Linked DNA regions of Saccharomyces cerevisiae S288C. The protein of the gene in region 2 interacts with the protein of the main gene of each other region in a biochemical or structural test. Each region holds a gene or a part of one and is shown on either strand. Other genes may lie near its edges.

What was found.
Region 1: the proteins of PPZ1 (region 2) and SIS2 form a complex in vitro, tested with the Saccharomyces cerevisiae proteins (7 studies listed by BioGRID).
Region 3: the proteins of PPZ1 (region 2) and YPI1 form a complex in vitro, tested with the Saccharomyces cerevisiae proteins (one study listed by BioGRID).

The regions. Positions count from the first base shown.
Region 1 is NC_001143.9:575,935-579,743, reverse strand, and holds SIS2 (phosphopantothenoylcysteine decarboxylase complex subunit SIS2), read left to right. Parts: upstream 1-1,620; coding exon 1,621-3,309; downstream 3,310-3,809. Other genes in the region: AIM29 (Aim29p), read right to left, coding at 68-535; YKR073C (uncharacterized protein), read left to right, coding at 1,237-1,557; electron carrier DRE2, read left to right, coding at 3,764-3,809. UniProt on the Saccharomyces cerevisiae protein: Component of the phosphopantothenoylcysteine decarboxylase (PPCDC) involved in the coenzyme A synthesis. Acts as an inhibitory subunit of protein phosphatase PPZ1, which is involved in many cellular processes such as G1-S transition or salt tolerance.
Region 2 is NC_001145.3:235,520-244,222, forward strand, and holds PPZ1 (salt homeostasis regulator), read right to left. Parts: upstream 6,018-8,703; coding exon 3,939-6,017; downstream 1-3,938. Other genes in the region: YML018C (uncharacterized protein), read right to left, coding at 1-433; PSP2 (Psp2p), read left to right, coding at 1,069-1,072, 1,435-3,212; TATA-binding protein-associated factor TAF11, read right to left, coding at 6,470-7,510; TRM9 (tRNA (carboxymethyluridine(34)-5-O)-methyltransferase), read left to right, coding at 7,706-8,545; UBX2 (Ubx2p), read left to right, coding at 8,630-8,703. UniProt on the Saccharomyces cerevisiae protein: Essential for the maintenance of cell size and integrity in response to osmotic stress.
Region 3 is NC_001138.5:152,157-154,832, forward strand, and holds YPI1 (type 1 protein phosphatase-activating protein YPI1), read right to left. Parts: upstream 969-2,676; coding exon 501-968; downstream 1-500. Other genes in the region: linker nucleoporin NIC96, read left to right, coding at 1-379; proteasome regulatory particle lid subunit RPN11, read left to right, coding at 1,237-2,157; mRNA splicing protein SAD1, read right to left, coding at 2,371-2,676.

The DNA.
Region 1 (3,809 bases), on a different chromosome or scaffold from region 2:
TATATATATATATGTAATATATTCATAGCACTTACTTATTAATGAAGGCCATAAGCCAAACAACATCTCACCATTTTTCTTCAGGGTTTTCTTTAAACCTTAGGTAATCCTCTTTGTTGAAAAGCGAAATTTCGGTTTCATTCTCAATGCCATACTCGAACAGCTTTTTTTTGTCATTCTCTATGTCTAAAGTCCAGTCGTCATCGTGGTCAAAATTGATCACGAGATTAACCGTCTTGGAACCATGTGCGTGCGTGTATATCTTTAAAGTATCAAACTTAACATTACGGAATGGTCTGAATGAACCTTCATTTTGAATTTTGTTCAAAACGTCATTGAACAGGTCCTTTGCAGTTTTATCAGCAAGATCGTAATCGTGCAGCACTATGTTCTTGACGTTTCTATATGGGAAAGATTTTATTACTCGGATTGTAATAACGGAGTTCTTTAGTGGTCTGGCATTTGAGGTTAATGGCTCTTCCAAGTCATAATCATGAAAGGTTGTTGACATTTTCAGCCTTTTAGTTGAATTCATGAAATAATGCAACCAAACAAGAAAAAATTTGGGGGAGGTAGTCTACGCATTTCAGTTCTAACTTCCTTCCTTTTCTTTCACTATTAATTGAAACTTATTTTCATTTTTTTTCTTTAGCATTGAACGCCGAATCTAAAAAAGTAAAGAACTCCTCATAGGGGGCTCGAACCCCTGACATTTCGGTATCCTTGCTTAAGCAAATGCGCTTAAAAGCCGAACGCTCTACCAACTGAGCTAACAAGGATGAGTTCTTCGGAGGGCTAACTCATATAAATAACTAATAAAGGCGAAATAGTGGTCACCACCATCACACTACACCCATATCAACGACAAGAGTTTAATTTGACCGTGGAAATTTATTACTGCTGATTTGGGTTCTATGATAAATCCTCGTAACGTAGAGACTATGTTTTTATATGCGCATTAAGTGCCGGAAAACGTGAGAAATAGGCTTTCCGGAGCATCAAACCTGAGGTTTCATAAATTGTGTTCGTGAAGGATGCATTCCAGAGGGCCATCCATCCAGCATAAAAAGAGATCTACAAAGCAATTATGTGGTTTCGCCATTATCCGTAGGATGACCTAAAAAATGGTAATGATTCACGTGATCTAGAAACTTTAACGTGTTATATCATTCAAGGCGTAACTTATACGCGCGGGGTACCCTATCATATCTAACACACGTACCCTGGGTTAATGCCATGATCGTCTTTGATGTATCTCTAATGATCATTATTATTTTTTCTTTTGCTTTTAACATGAGTCAAAGCAATATTCTTATGTTATATAACTCACCCCATGTGCTCGTGGGCAGTGACGCACGCAACTTTTTCTCTTGCAAAAAATGGCATCGATGCTTTTCTGGGGAGGTGATATTAGAGGAGAAGAAGTCACAGAGTGCTCTTGGATCACGATCCCTCACTTGTACTTGTCCACTTATCAGCGCCGTCCAGTTACATTTGGAGAGATCTTTTTTTAGCCTGGCCTTCTTTGCTGTCATACTACTTTATATTCCGGGATAAAATATAAAGAAATATTAGTTAGGAAAAAATTAATAGGGAAGAAAGATCTAGAAGCAAACAGCAATGACTGCCGTCGCCTCTACTAGCGGGAAGCAAGATGCTGACCATAACCAGTCTATAGAGTGTCCAAGGTTTTCGCGTGGACAGAAAGAGATTTTGTTGGACCATGAGGATGCGAAGGGGAAGGATTCAATAATCAACTCCCCCGTGTCAGGGAGGCAATCAATAAGCCCTACTTTGTCGAATGCTACTACCACGACTACGAAATCTATTATGAATGCCACCGGCACCTCCGGCGCAGTAGTAAGTAATACTCCGGAGCCTGGTTTGAAGAGAGTCCCCGCCGTCACTTTCAGTGATCTAAAGCAACAGCAAAAGCAGGATAGTCTGACTCAGCTGAAGAACGACTCAGAAAGGACCAAGTCTCCAAATAGTAATCCTGCTCCTGTCTCAAATTCCATTCCTGGCAATCATGCAGTTATACCGAACCACACCAACACTTCAAGAACAACGCAATTATCTGGGTCTCCACTCGTCAACGAAATGAAAGATTATGATCCTAAGAAAAAAGACAGTGCTCTTAAAATAGTTGATACCATGAAGCCTGACAAAATCATGGCCACTTCAACGCCAATAAGTAGAGAAAATAATAAGGTAACCGCCAAAGCCCCCACCAGTATTACACTTCGAAAGGAAGATGCACAAGATCAAGCTAACAATGTTTCAGGCCAAATTAATGTGCGTTCTACCCCGGAAGAAACGCCAGTGAAGCAGTCCGTCATTCCTTCCATCATCCCCAAAAGAGAGAACTCCAAGAATTTGGATCCCAGACTACCTCAAGATGATGGAAAATTGCACGTGTTGTTTGGCGCTACAGGTTCGTTATCGGTATTTAAGATCAAGCCAATGATTAAAAAACTAGAAGAAATATATGGACGTGATAGAATAAGCATTCAAGTTATCCTCACTCAATCAGCAACACAGTTTTTCGAACAAAGATATACCAAGAAAATTATCAAATCTTCAGAAAAACTAAATAAAATGTCGCAGTACGAATCCACTCCGGCAACTCCAGTGACACCAACACCAGGACAATGCAACATGGCTCAAGTAGTCGAGTTACCCCCACATATTCAACTATGGACCGACCAAGATGAATGGGACGCATGGAAACAACGAACTGATCCTGTACTTCATATAGAACTACGTCGCTGGGCGGATATACTGGTAGTAGCTCCATTAACTGCAAACACATTATCAAAAATTGCTTTGGGCCTGTGCGACAATCTTCTGACAAGTGTCATTAGAGCTTGGAATCCGAGTTATCCCATTCTTTTGGCACCTTCTATGGTGAGTAGCACTTTTAATTCTATGATGACAAAGAAGCAACTACAAACGATAAAGGAGGAAATGTCCTGGGTCACTGTTTTCAAGCCGTCTGAGAAAGTTATGGATATAAATGGTGATATTGGTCTCGGGGGTATGATGGACTGGAATGAGATTGTTAACAAAATCGTTATGAAATTGGGTGGGTACCCAAAAAATAACGAGGAAGAGGACGATGATGAGGATGAGGAAGAAGACGACGACGAAGAAGAAGATACAGAAGATAAGAACGAAAACAACAACGATGATGATGACGATGACGACGATGACGACGACGACGACGACGACGACGACGACGACGACGACGATGATGACGAGGACGAGGACGAAGCAGAAACCCCAGGTATAATAGATAAGCATCAATAAATAGTCTATGAATTACAAATACACTAAACACATTCTACTTATTTGTGTTTTGTAATTTCTGGAAAAATACTCATTAGGCAAATTCACGCAGCATATTTACAAAATGTCACAAATTTTTTTCCTTTTTTACTTGCAGTAGGTATGTAATGCCATACTAGCGTACATAGAGCTCTTCATATAAACCGCTATTTATTACTAATTTTAATAATTCAGTAATTCATTAAATACATTCATTACTTTCTGGGTAAATATCTATTCGTTTCTCATTTTTCTTTTTTTGACATATCCCGGTACCGGAATAAGTCCGATACTATTCAAAAGCTTCTGGAAAAAAAAAATAAAAAAAAGAAATGATTAGTAATCATTTAATTTCATGACATATTAAAAAGGTATTCTAAGCAGAAGTCTTTCATCACATTTGATCTAAGCATATACACTGTAAGTGAAGGTATCGATGTCACAATACAAAACTGGTTTACTTTTAATACATCCGGCGGTGA
Region 2 (8,703 bases):
TGGTCACAAGGTTAGCTGTGAACCAAAGTATGCAGAACTCAGCACTTAACTTGATTGTTTCATATAACGTTAGCCTCTTCTTTTGGTTGGCATGCGTGCCTGCTTCAAGGTTTGTAAGCAGTGGGCTAGTCATATCAACCGAGCGATTGCTATCACTACCAGTACCTTCTTCCTCCATAATTAGTTCGCGGTGAACGTTTGCACGGCCTGTGTCCTTGTAATTCACCACAACGGCCTTTGCAGTTGGAAAAAGATAAAAGATAAAGGCGGCAGTATTGGTGTACGTGATAAAGAATGGTTTTCTATACGAGTCATCCTCGAAGATCAAATTTATCAGGAAGGACGATAAAACCCACAAAATAATGACTAGACCCAACATCAGAAGACCCAAGGTCCACCTCTTATTAAAGGACGTTTGATCCTTCGACACCATGGCTCTGTTGAACTTTTATCTGAGAGAGGAAAAAAAGGAAGGAAAAAAAAGAAGAAACTTCCTTTATTTATTTGTCTTAACCACAACACACAATGCAATAAGATGCAATATAATATCAAAGCCAATATCTTATGTTGCTGATCCTGAGAAGGAATATATACAATTTATGTAGTAAAATACCTTTTCTTCTGCGAGTTGCAAGAAATAGAAAAGACTCCGATTGCGCATCGCCAGAATAAAATTTCACAACCACACTTTTTGGCTGAACTTTTTATTACCTGATTAAACAGAGAGAGAAAAGGTAGAGGTCAAAATTTTTTAAGCAAAACTAAAAAAGATGCAAAATCACGTGCTGAAAATCTAACATAAGGGTTAAGATTAGAGTTTTATAGGACTTGTTTTGTAATATTTCAAATACGAGCTAACCCTACTGATTTCAATTAGGTCTAATTTAGGGTTGAGCTGCACTGAAATTTCGGAAATTTTGGGTTATTTTAAATGAGACAGAAGAACTACAGAGATACGTTCTTCAGACTTTAAAGCTTATCTCCACAAAGAATTGGTCAAGAAATCATCCTAGAAAAACACGTTTGCTCACTCGATCTTAATCACATAGAGTGCTGGAACGGGAAGAAATGGGTATGTGCCTCGGTTTTTCTCATTAACCCCTTTTGATCCATAACGGTCCTCTTTTGTTTCCTTTTTTTTTTTTGTTTTAGTATTTTATGTTTACTATTTTCTTCTGTTTCAGTCATACGTAGGAATTATTGCATGAAAGAGGATATAATATTCATGTGGATTTTTAAGAAAATAGATCAAGTTTAAATAGCCACTAACAATTGAACAATGCTCTCTCTTGGCCTCTTTTCTTCTTTTTTATCGTTTCTCTAAAAATCAAGCTGATTAGACATGGTCTTGCAATGTTTTTGCTTTCTCTAATCAGCTTGGTTTTCCGCAAAGAAGAGAAAGTCACGGAATTGTCTACATATGTTTCTATTCAGGAACAAATAATACATCTAATAATAATGGCACTACGAAGAAAATGTCCCTAGAAGAATTTCTAGGGAACGACACTTTAGGCGAGTCAGTATGGGATGAGGAAGATATTAATTTGGATGCTATAAGCAATACTACGAATATTGACATCTTGAAACAAACCAAGGCAGGCGAACATCAACGTGATGGTCACCAACAGCACCCACACGGTGGTCATGGACCCATGAACAGATCACGTTTTTCTAATGCAGGGCCTTTTGGTGGTGGTAGCATGGGGGACTTTGCAAATCATCACCACCCGCTGCAGCATCAGCAAGGTCCTCCTTATATTGTGAAGTTTTCTGATTTACCACCGAGATTTTCCAACTTTGACATTGAAGATCTTTTTCAAGCAAAGTTTACCAAGTTTATTAAGTTCAAACTGTTTTGGGAGATAAATAAAAATCCAAGTATTTCTACTTTGAAATCGGGGTCAATCTTTGATCAAAATTTCAAACGTGACTCGAAGGTAGCATTTGTCGAGTTATATACATCCCGTGATATGGACAAAATTTTGAACTATTGGACCACTCCTTTGAAGGAAATTTACCACATTACAACAGCGCCCGCAGAATTCGAAGATTTTAAGGATTACAGCACGAAGGTGAAATTATTAACAGACCCTAAAGACGATGCTGGCAAACCATTCATTACTAAGACTCAGCGGTCAAAATCCAATCCTTTTGGAAGTGCTAAACCGGTTGATACGCAATCGAAGATTTTGGACATTGAAGAAAAAATGGAAAATTTACACGTGGAAGATACAACAACCCTGAGGGCATCATTAATCCCTAGTAGTGATTCTATGGCAACCACTGCAACAGGCAGCAAGATCACAATCTTGAAAAAGCAGACACCTACAGAGGAGGAATCACATTCTGCAACCCCAACTCCCAAACCTTTAAGTTACTCTGAAGTAGTTGAGAGATCTGTGGTCAATGAAACTTCCAAGAAAGGAACTCCATTAAGCAAGCTTGACTCACCAGCTCTTGAACTACAATCTAAGCCCGATAAATCGGACGAGTTCAAAGGTGGCGATGAACAAGGCTTTGAGAAAGGTGGCGACGATAAAGCTCAATTAGATGTCTCAAATGATAAAGATAAAGGTTCAGAAACCGATGTTGATAAACAGTTCACTTTCAAGAATGTGGAAAGGGAACATAGTATGAGCAGAACCAAATATAACGGAAACCATAATAACAATAATGGCAATTTTAGAGGGAGTAATAGATATCGTGGAGGCCCCAATGGCAGCAGTTATAAAGGTGGGCATAACAATCGTGGTAATCGCGGCGGATATCGTGGTGGCAGCTCATACAACAACAACAACAACAACACTAATGATAATAATAATAATAATAATAATAGTAGTAGTAATAATAATAACGGTTCAAGATATCATGATCGACAAAACAATGAAGAAGGGTTAACCTCGGATTCATCTTTAGATGCCTCAGGAAATAAAAAGAATGATTTCACGAACTCAACATCCAATACACAACAATATTCCATTTTCAAACCAGCAAGTGGGTTCCTTGGCCAAGGTAATAATGATTCTATAAGGAACAATGGACGCGGTAACTATAACAGCAGCGGTATGAATGGAGGTTCGAGAGGAAGAGGATTTGGCAGAGGAAGGGGATTTGGCAGAGGCGCATATAACAATCGAGGTAGTCGTGGTGGACGTGGAAGCAGCGGTAACTACTCCAACTACAATAACAGAACAACAGACATGCCTTTATGAGTCATGTACTGACCCATTAATTTTCTTTTCTCTTTTTTTTTTTTTTTTTTTTTTTTCCTCTATTTCCTTTTTTTGTTCTAGTCGGTTACGCAGTTCTGAGTAATGTAATATAGCGTTCCTTTTCCTCTCAGATTTTTTTGACCTTATTTTGTTTCCACTTTTTACTACTTATGCTGCTTTTTGTCCATTTCCCCTTCAGTTGTTTTGAATTTTTTTTTTAAAAAAAATTCGTCTTTCTGATTAATCAATTTTGATTATATATTTTCTCTTGATTAGTTCACAATTTTTATAGGCCCTTATTTCTTAAAGAAGTTTTATGAAGTTTCGTAAGTATTGGGGGGGTTGAAAATAATCTCTCACGTTATACGCAATAAAAAATTAAAATTAAGGAGAACCAATCTATAGAAACGAACCATTGAATTTAGCTATATGACTATATACCATTACGTAATTTATATAAACAGCTTAATATAGCGAAAGCAAAGTAGAACGAAATTTCGGAGAGTTCTAGATTGTATAGAGCGAATGAGCATTCAATACACACGCGAAGGCAGTAGGCGATGAAAGGAAGTTTTTTAATGTCATTAAGAAAAAGATAGGGAACTTCTATTTCCTGTCTTTCATATATATATATATATATATATATATATATATGTGCATATGTACATCGTTGAGTTGTTCATGAAATAATGAATATAATACTTCTGGATTTTTTAGTCAGTAAATTTACTGTTGAGATTCGTTATCATTTGTGATGCTTGTTTCCATCATTTGCTGTTGTTGATTAGCCAGTTTTCTTTCCTGTCTACCTTTCTTCATAACTTGCTTCAAAGCTGCACTATCTAGTGGATCTAACAATTCAAAAGAGCACAATAAACCTTCGCTGACGCTCATTACAGCCCCCCAATTATCAAATTCACCACAATAATTTGGCGCGGAAAACACCGTAACGAGACTTCTATCATTGAAAAATTCATAACCGTCTTCCACAACCATGTGAGCTCTACAAACCAAATCAAACCCAAACTTGTTCAAGAATTTGTTAATTGCCACCTTATTATAACAGTAACTTACACCACGTTCGTTATCCTCCCATTCGTTGGGTGAATCTGTGGGATCGGACCACAAAAGATCATTAATTAAGCCAAAATCTGGTACATCAGTAGGCCTAACTACATGTCTGATTTCATCCATAGAATTTAAAACTGGCGACAATCCACCATGAACACAAAAAATCTTTCCGGCTACGATAGCAGCTAATGGTAATGTATTAAAAGTATCGATGAATGTCTTCCAGATCTTGATGTTACAACGACGTTTACATTCATCATAAAATCCATAAACCCTTGTGACGTTAGCACATTCATGGTTGCCTCTCAATAAAAAGAAATTTTCAGGGTATTTTATTTTGTAACAAAACAATAGTAAAATAGTCTCCAGTGACTGTTTACCACGGTCCACATAATCACCTAGGAATAAATAGTTCGAGGATGGTGGGAACCCACATTTGGTAAAAAGCCTTAAGAGATCCCCATATTGGCCATGAACGTCGCCTACAATTTTTACAGGAGGTGATAATTCTAATAAGGAAGGTTGAGAAAGAAAGATTTCACGAGCCTTGATGCAAATCTGTAAAATTTCATTGTTCTTCAAACAAACATTTTTTGTTCTCTTAGCAGCGTAGCCCGCATCCAGTAATTTTTGGATAGTTTCATCAATATCGATAGGCTTTTTGAATTTTTTTGGAGCGTTTTTGTTTCCGGAAGATTGCATTATATCATTAAATTCCTCATTCGGATCTTTTTTGCTATCTGTTATATTATTATTTTTATCATTAACATTTTCCATTGATGCATGGATATTACTCAATTGAGATGAATTTTCAATGTCATCATCATTGCTGATGTGTTTGCTCGGGTAAATATCGCGACTTGAATGGTGATTCAATGAGGAGGTTGAATTAGAGGTAAAGTATTCACCAGAGTGATCTGTTAGCTTGGACAAGCCTGGAGAGTTTAATGGGGTGCTGTATGCGGTATTACCATCTGATCCAAACGAAGATTTCCTACTGTGTAGCGAAGATGCATGAGAATTTGACCGGGTTAATGCCTGAACGAGATAATTCTCCTGATTGTTAGAGGAGTATGATCCATTGTTAGGCTCTTCATGGGTCACATCTGATTTCCTTCTTGACACTGATCCGCTTCTTATACTGGACGGACGAGAATTCGAAGATCTAGAAAACCTTTTAGTGTGCGAGATGTCGTTGTCTTTATCATCATTGTCATCATCGGTTAAGGCGTTCTCATAATAGGTAGATGAGTATGAAGATTTATGCTTGGATACGTGTGTGCTACTATTGTTTGTTTTTAAAATGGGTGACTTGGGTTCCATTTGGATCATTGAAGGTGGTAAATCAGCAGCAGCCTTAGTATTATAACTTGATCTTCTAGAAGTAGAAGGCCTCTTAGTAGAGGATGATGAAGGAGTAGTTAACAATTCGTTTTGAGAATTTGAATGCGAGTGTGAGCTAGATGGGAAATGGTAACGATTCGTGTGAGAGCTATGTCGTTGGTGATTAACCTCAAGATTGGGCTTTGATGGAGTGGAGGGATCAGGGACGTTTGAATTAGTATTCGTAGTGGACGAAGAAGGAAGAGATCGCCTTGATCTTGAAGATTTATTTGATTTTGCAGACTTCACAGAATGGGAAGTCTCGGTTCTCGACACTTGAGGACGAGGATTTCTCGAGGAGGAATTCGAATGTGAATCCTTTTTCGAAGATTTTGAACTTGAATTACCCATTTTGAAAAGGAAGGAAAGATAAGCAGAGAGTGGTTGATTTGTTGTTTTATGACAAAGCCTCTAGGGGAAAAGAAGCGACTATAACGATGAAATAAAAATAAAACGATAAAGAAAAGTATAATCAAATGTATTCCAAAGAAGTACTTTTATATATAATCTTTATATTTAACTTGAAAGAAAAAGATTTAACATGTATTGCCAAAACAAACAAAACTAATAATGGAAGCTATTGTATTGTGCTTTTATGTTACCCACCTGCCAATGGTTCACAAGAGAAAGCTGATTAACAGAATTAGAAGATCTGCAGTAATCGTTTTCTTTTTTTTTTTTTCATTAATTTATATGCTATCCTTTTAAAAATAGACATGTCATTTCAAACGACATGTTAAAAATTATATATATGTTTATATATAGATTGATATATGTTGGAGCCGTTGGACAATTATGGGCAGCTATCTGAACATGGATCCCTGCCCTTCTCCTTGAGTTCTCCAGTAAGCGTTAGGCAAAGTGTCCGACTGCAGACGGTAGAGTCTCCACGCCTCACGGATGTGTTCGGGCAATAAGGGACTGTTGTTATATTTCTCGATGCTTACATCTAGTTTGTTGAATTGGAGGACGAGCTTATTGTACTGCTCGATGAGTTGTAGCTTCAAGTCCTGTGAATTATGGTCTGATTGCTGTAAGGATTTGGACTGTAGCAACGAGTTGCCCAGCGTAGTTTCGCGCTTGTCTACTTCTTCATCGTCGAAGTAGAAATCAGGTTCGTCTTCGGGAACGCTATCGGATTGATAATCTTGCTTGTATTGCTGGTTTTCTATGATGGAGAAAGTCAATTTTTTTAGATATTTTTTCAATTTATAGCCTATTTTGGTCCTCTTATCAAACTCTATGCACATTTGACTTGTCAACCACTTATTCTTCACAATCATGGCCAATTCGATTATCTCACCAGCGTATATTTTTCCCACCGCTTGCAGAAAAACACGAATATTTTCACTTATAGTTTGATTAGCTACTGTGCTAGCCAGTTTTTTGACCTGGGTTTTGTTTAGGGATGTTCTATGGAAAACTTCAAACCGATTAGTTTGATCTTTATCCAAGTTGGTTACCAAGAGCTTGAATTGTTCGTCCTGCGCAAGTTTTTCATTTTCATCTTCGTTGGTATTGGTGTCTTCGTAATTGCTATTTTGTGTTTGCTGTTGTAAAATGTCTTGTGGAAAGATCAGGTTTTCTGGGACTTTGTTGATAGAGTCCGGGTCTTGCTGATTTATCCTGGTTTTCTGGTATTTGTATTTTGGATATTTATTTAATTGGTTGTTGATTGATGTACCACCCGTTCGCAGGTTTTGCAATTTCCACGTAACGTAGTCCTGGTCCTCACTGATGACTTGGTCAATCATTTGTTTTGTGGAAAAATAGTTTGCTATTGTCAGTATTGGCGGATAGTTCACTTTCGGGATGGTGTCCAAAGGACCTTGAGGTTCGGTCATCGTTGCGCTGTTGAAGCTCAAACTTACTTTGTGCTCTTCATTTATATGGATAATTATCTCTATATACCTCTTCTTGATTTTTCAATTTCTTTCAACTTTTCAGTCGAAGAAATGGGAATAAGAGAAAAAATTCGGTAATGAACTGAACAGAGATGAGGTCTCGAAGAGCCAAGAAATAAAAGGTTAAGAACCAACATGGAGATAAACCAAGCGGCTGAAAAAGAACAGGAGTATGTTCACAAAGTGTATAATGAGATAGCTCCGCATTTCTCGCAAACTAGATATAAGCCATGGCCCATAGTGACTCAGTTCTTGAAGACTCGCCCAATGGGTTCCATCGGTATCGACGTCGGGTGTGGCAATGGAAAGTACCTCGGAGTGAACCCTGATATATATATTATCGGTTCAGATCGCTCAGATGGTCTTATTGAGTGCGCCAGAGGAATAAACCCATCGTACAACTTACTGGTGGCAGACGGGCTGAACTTACCACACAAAAACGAAACATTTGACTTCGCCATCTCAATTGCTGTAGTGCATCACTGGTCTACAAGGGAGAGACGTGTTGAGGTGATCAGGCACGTTCTATCGAAGCTACGTCAGGGCGGACAAGCATTAATATATTGTTGGGCTCTAGAACAGGGCAGCTCCCGTAGAGGTTACCATGAAGGTATGGAGCAAGATGTCTTTGTCCCCTGGGTTCTTCCCAAGAGTAAATCCAAACCAAAAACTAAATCAACGCCGCCTGCTAAAGTCAAGACAAGGCCAAAGCCAAACTTAATGAATATTCCCCCAAAGGAGCGTTCCGAATACTTGCAGCGCTGGAAGGAGGAACAGCAACGCAGTAAGTCTCTTGATGATAACGACGAGAAGCAACAACAAGATCAAGAACAGGAAAGAGAAGAGGTAAAATACCGATACTATCACTTATACCGAGAGGGCGAATTGGCTGAGGATTGCCGCCAAGCTGGGGCTGCCGTTCATAGTGAGGGCTTCGAGCGCGACAATTGGTGGGTGGTGGCCCAGAAGAGATGAAGGTGATATATAGGTAGACAGTGTATTTTGTAGCAGCAGGTATTACGATAGAAGTATGTAATAGCTTTCATAGTGTAATCGAAGATGCCAGTAGTCAATCATGAGGATAGTGAATTTCACCTTTCGCACACAGAAGAGGACAAGTTAAATGAGTTCCA
Region 3 (2,676 bases), on a different chromosome or scaffold from region 2:
TATGCTGCTCTTAAATATCTCCTCTATCAGGGAGCTATATTTCAATAAACAATGGCAAGAAACACTATCCCAAATGGAGTTATTGGATTTACTTCCTTTCTCAGACGAGCTATCTGCTAGAAAGAAAGCACAAGATTTCTCTAATTTAGATGACAACATTGTGAAAAATATTCCAAATTTGTTGATTATCACTCTAAGCTGTATATCGAACATGATTCATATCTTGAACGAAAGTAAGTATCAATCGTCCACAAAAGGTCAACAAATTGATTCCTTAAAAAATGTTGCGAGACAATGTATGATTTATGCTGGTATGATTCAATACAGAATGCCAAGGGAAACGTACAGCACTTTAATTAATATAGACGTCTCTCTATGATTTTTTTAAATATTGTATATTTTTGTTTATATCTATATATCAGTATGCGCGCATACTTAGTAAAAGTATAAAAAGCCATTTGCTGCTTCATCGAATATTTTGGCTTTCGTTGTACAAAGCCTCAGTCCTTCTTTTCCTGCTGTTTTCGCCTGTATTCAGAATAATCTGGTTGGATTTCATAAGCATTGGGGCTATATGACCTTTTTTTCTCAAGTTTACGATGGCGCCTTTCCAATCTTCTTTGTCTACGTTCGTTAAAGTCAAGATCCTTCTCATTCTCAGATTCTGAAGAAGAGGATCCGGAAGAAGAGGATCCATCATCATCTGAATGATGGTTGCACTCTTCTTCATCCTCATTTTGTGGATGAAAAATGCAGCATATCTTGGTCTTTTTTTTATTCATGTTTTCATTGTCAATCACATTTTCTTCCCATCTTACATTGTGCCTTGTAGGCATTGCCTCCTGGCTTCTTGGAGGATCTTGAGTTGCTCGAAGCTGCAAAACTGCGGGAACCTCTTCCACACTCACCGTTCGGGACCCTACGGTCTGTTGTTGTTCTGATCCCATAGCCATTTGATTTCCACTCATCCTTATAGACTTAATTGAAGACTTAGCTCGCAACTCCTGGCAGTTATAAGCTCTTGGGACCCTTGACTCGAATTGTTTCTAAATGATAAATACGGCCCCTTGTTTATACTGAAACGCACGTCGCTGATGATTTCGGACCTCCAAGGTGGCAAATTCACAAGAAAAGCCTTTAAGCTAAGAAACGGTTTATGACCAGTATTAATATTGAGAAAGAAAAATAGCAGGTGATAACACAATTAAGAGGACTTAACAAGAAAGACGAGACATAATGGAACGACTACAGAGATTGATGATGAATAGTAAGGTGGGGTCCGCGGACACCGGCCGTGACGATACGAAAGAAACTGTTTATATTTCTTCGATTGCGCTTTTAAAGATGCTAAAGCATGGTAGAGCTGGTGTTCCCATGGAAGTCATGGGGTTGATGTTAGGTGAGTTTGTCGATGATTATACGGTTAACGTTGTGGACGTGTTTGCGATGCCTCAATCGGGTACCGGAGTTTCTGTTGAGGCTGTCGATGATGTTTTCCAAGCGAAGATGATGGACATGTTAAAACAAACGGGCAGAGACCAAATGGTCGTTGGCTGGTACCACTCTCATCCAGGGTTTGGCTGTTGGCTATCTTCTGTTGATGTTAATACTCAAAAATCTTTTGAACAACTAAACAGCAGAGCTGTTGCTGTCGTTGTTGACCCTATTCAATCCGTTAAGGGAAAAGTTGTCATCGATGCTTTTAGATTGATTGACACGGGCGCATTGATAAATAACTTAGAGCCTAGACAAACAACCTCCAACACAGGCTTATTGAACAAGGCCAACATTCAAGCCTTAATTCACGGTCTGAATAGGCATTACTATTCTTTAAATATTGATTATCATAAAACCGCGAAGGAAACCAAGATGTTAATGAACTTACATAAAGAACAGTGGCAATCAGGTCTTAAGATGTACGATTATGAAGAAAAAGAAGAATCAAATTTGGCTGCTACAAAGAGTATGGTTAAGATAGCCGAACAGTACTCTAAGAGAATAGAAGAGGAAAAGGAATTAACCGAAGAAGAACTTAAGACAAGATACGTTGGTAGGCAAGATCCAAAGAAGCACCTTTCCGAAACAGCAGATGAGACACTAGAGAACAATATTGTTTCTGTGCTGACGGCGGGTGTTAATTCAGTGGCAATTAAATAAACAAATTTTATAAAGTCATTATGCATTAAATAACTAGAAAGCCCACTACATATATATTATATTGTATTTTTCTAAAAATTCTAATGAAGTAGTTAATGGAATGAATGGGAAAGAGAAAACGCGTTAGGAGGGAAAAGGCTCCTTAAATAACAGTAAAAATGAAATGGCTACTGGTAGTCCCAGTGCCAATTTTTTTTTTTACTTTCTTTTCTTTCACTCTTGCTTTTCCCATACTTGTATAAACGTTTCCTTCAAAAATAAAAGCTCGGCTTCTCTCTCTGTCGTATTTATGCCATCTATTTCTATCCATTTTTCACTTTTGTTATCATACAGCTGAGTAATCCAATGGCTTTTTTCATCACCATTAAATGCGTTTCCATCTGTGGATGGTTGTTTAATGACCACATGGACCACATTTGCTTTTAAGCGATACTTGACGTGCAAAATTTCAAGTTCACTGGAAAATTCCACCAACGTTTGGTTTCTATTTTTGACAGGATGATCACTGTTACGGTCAAA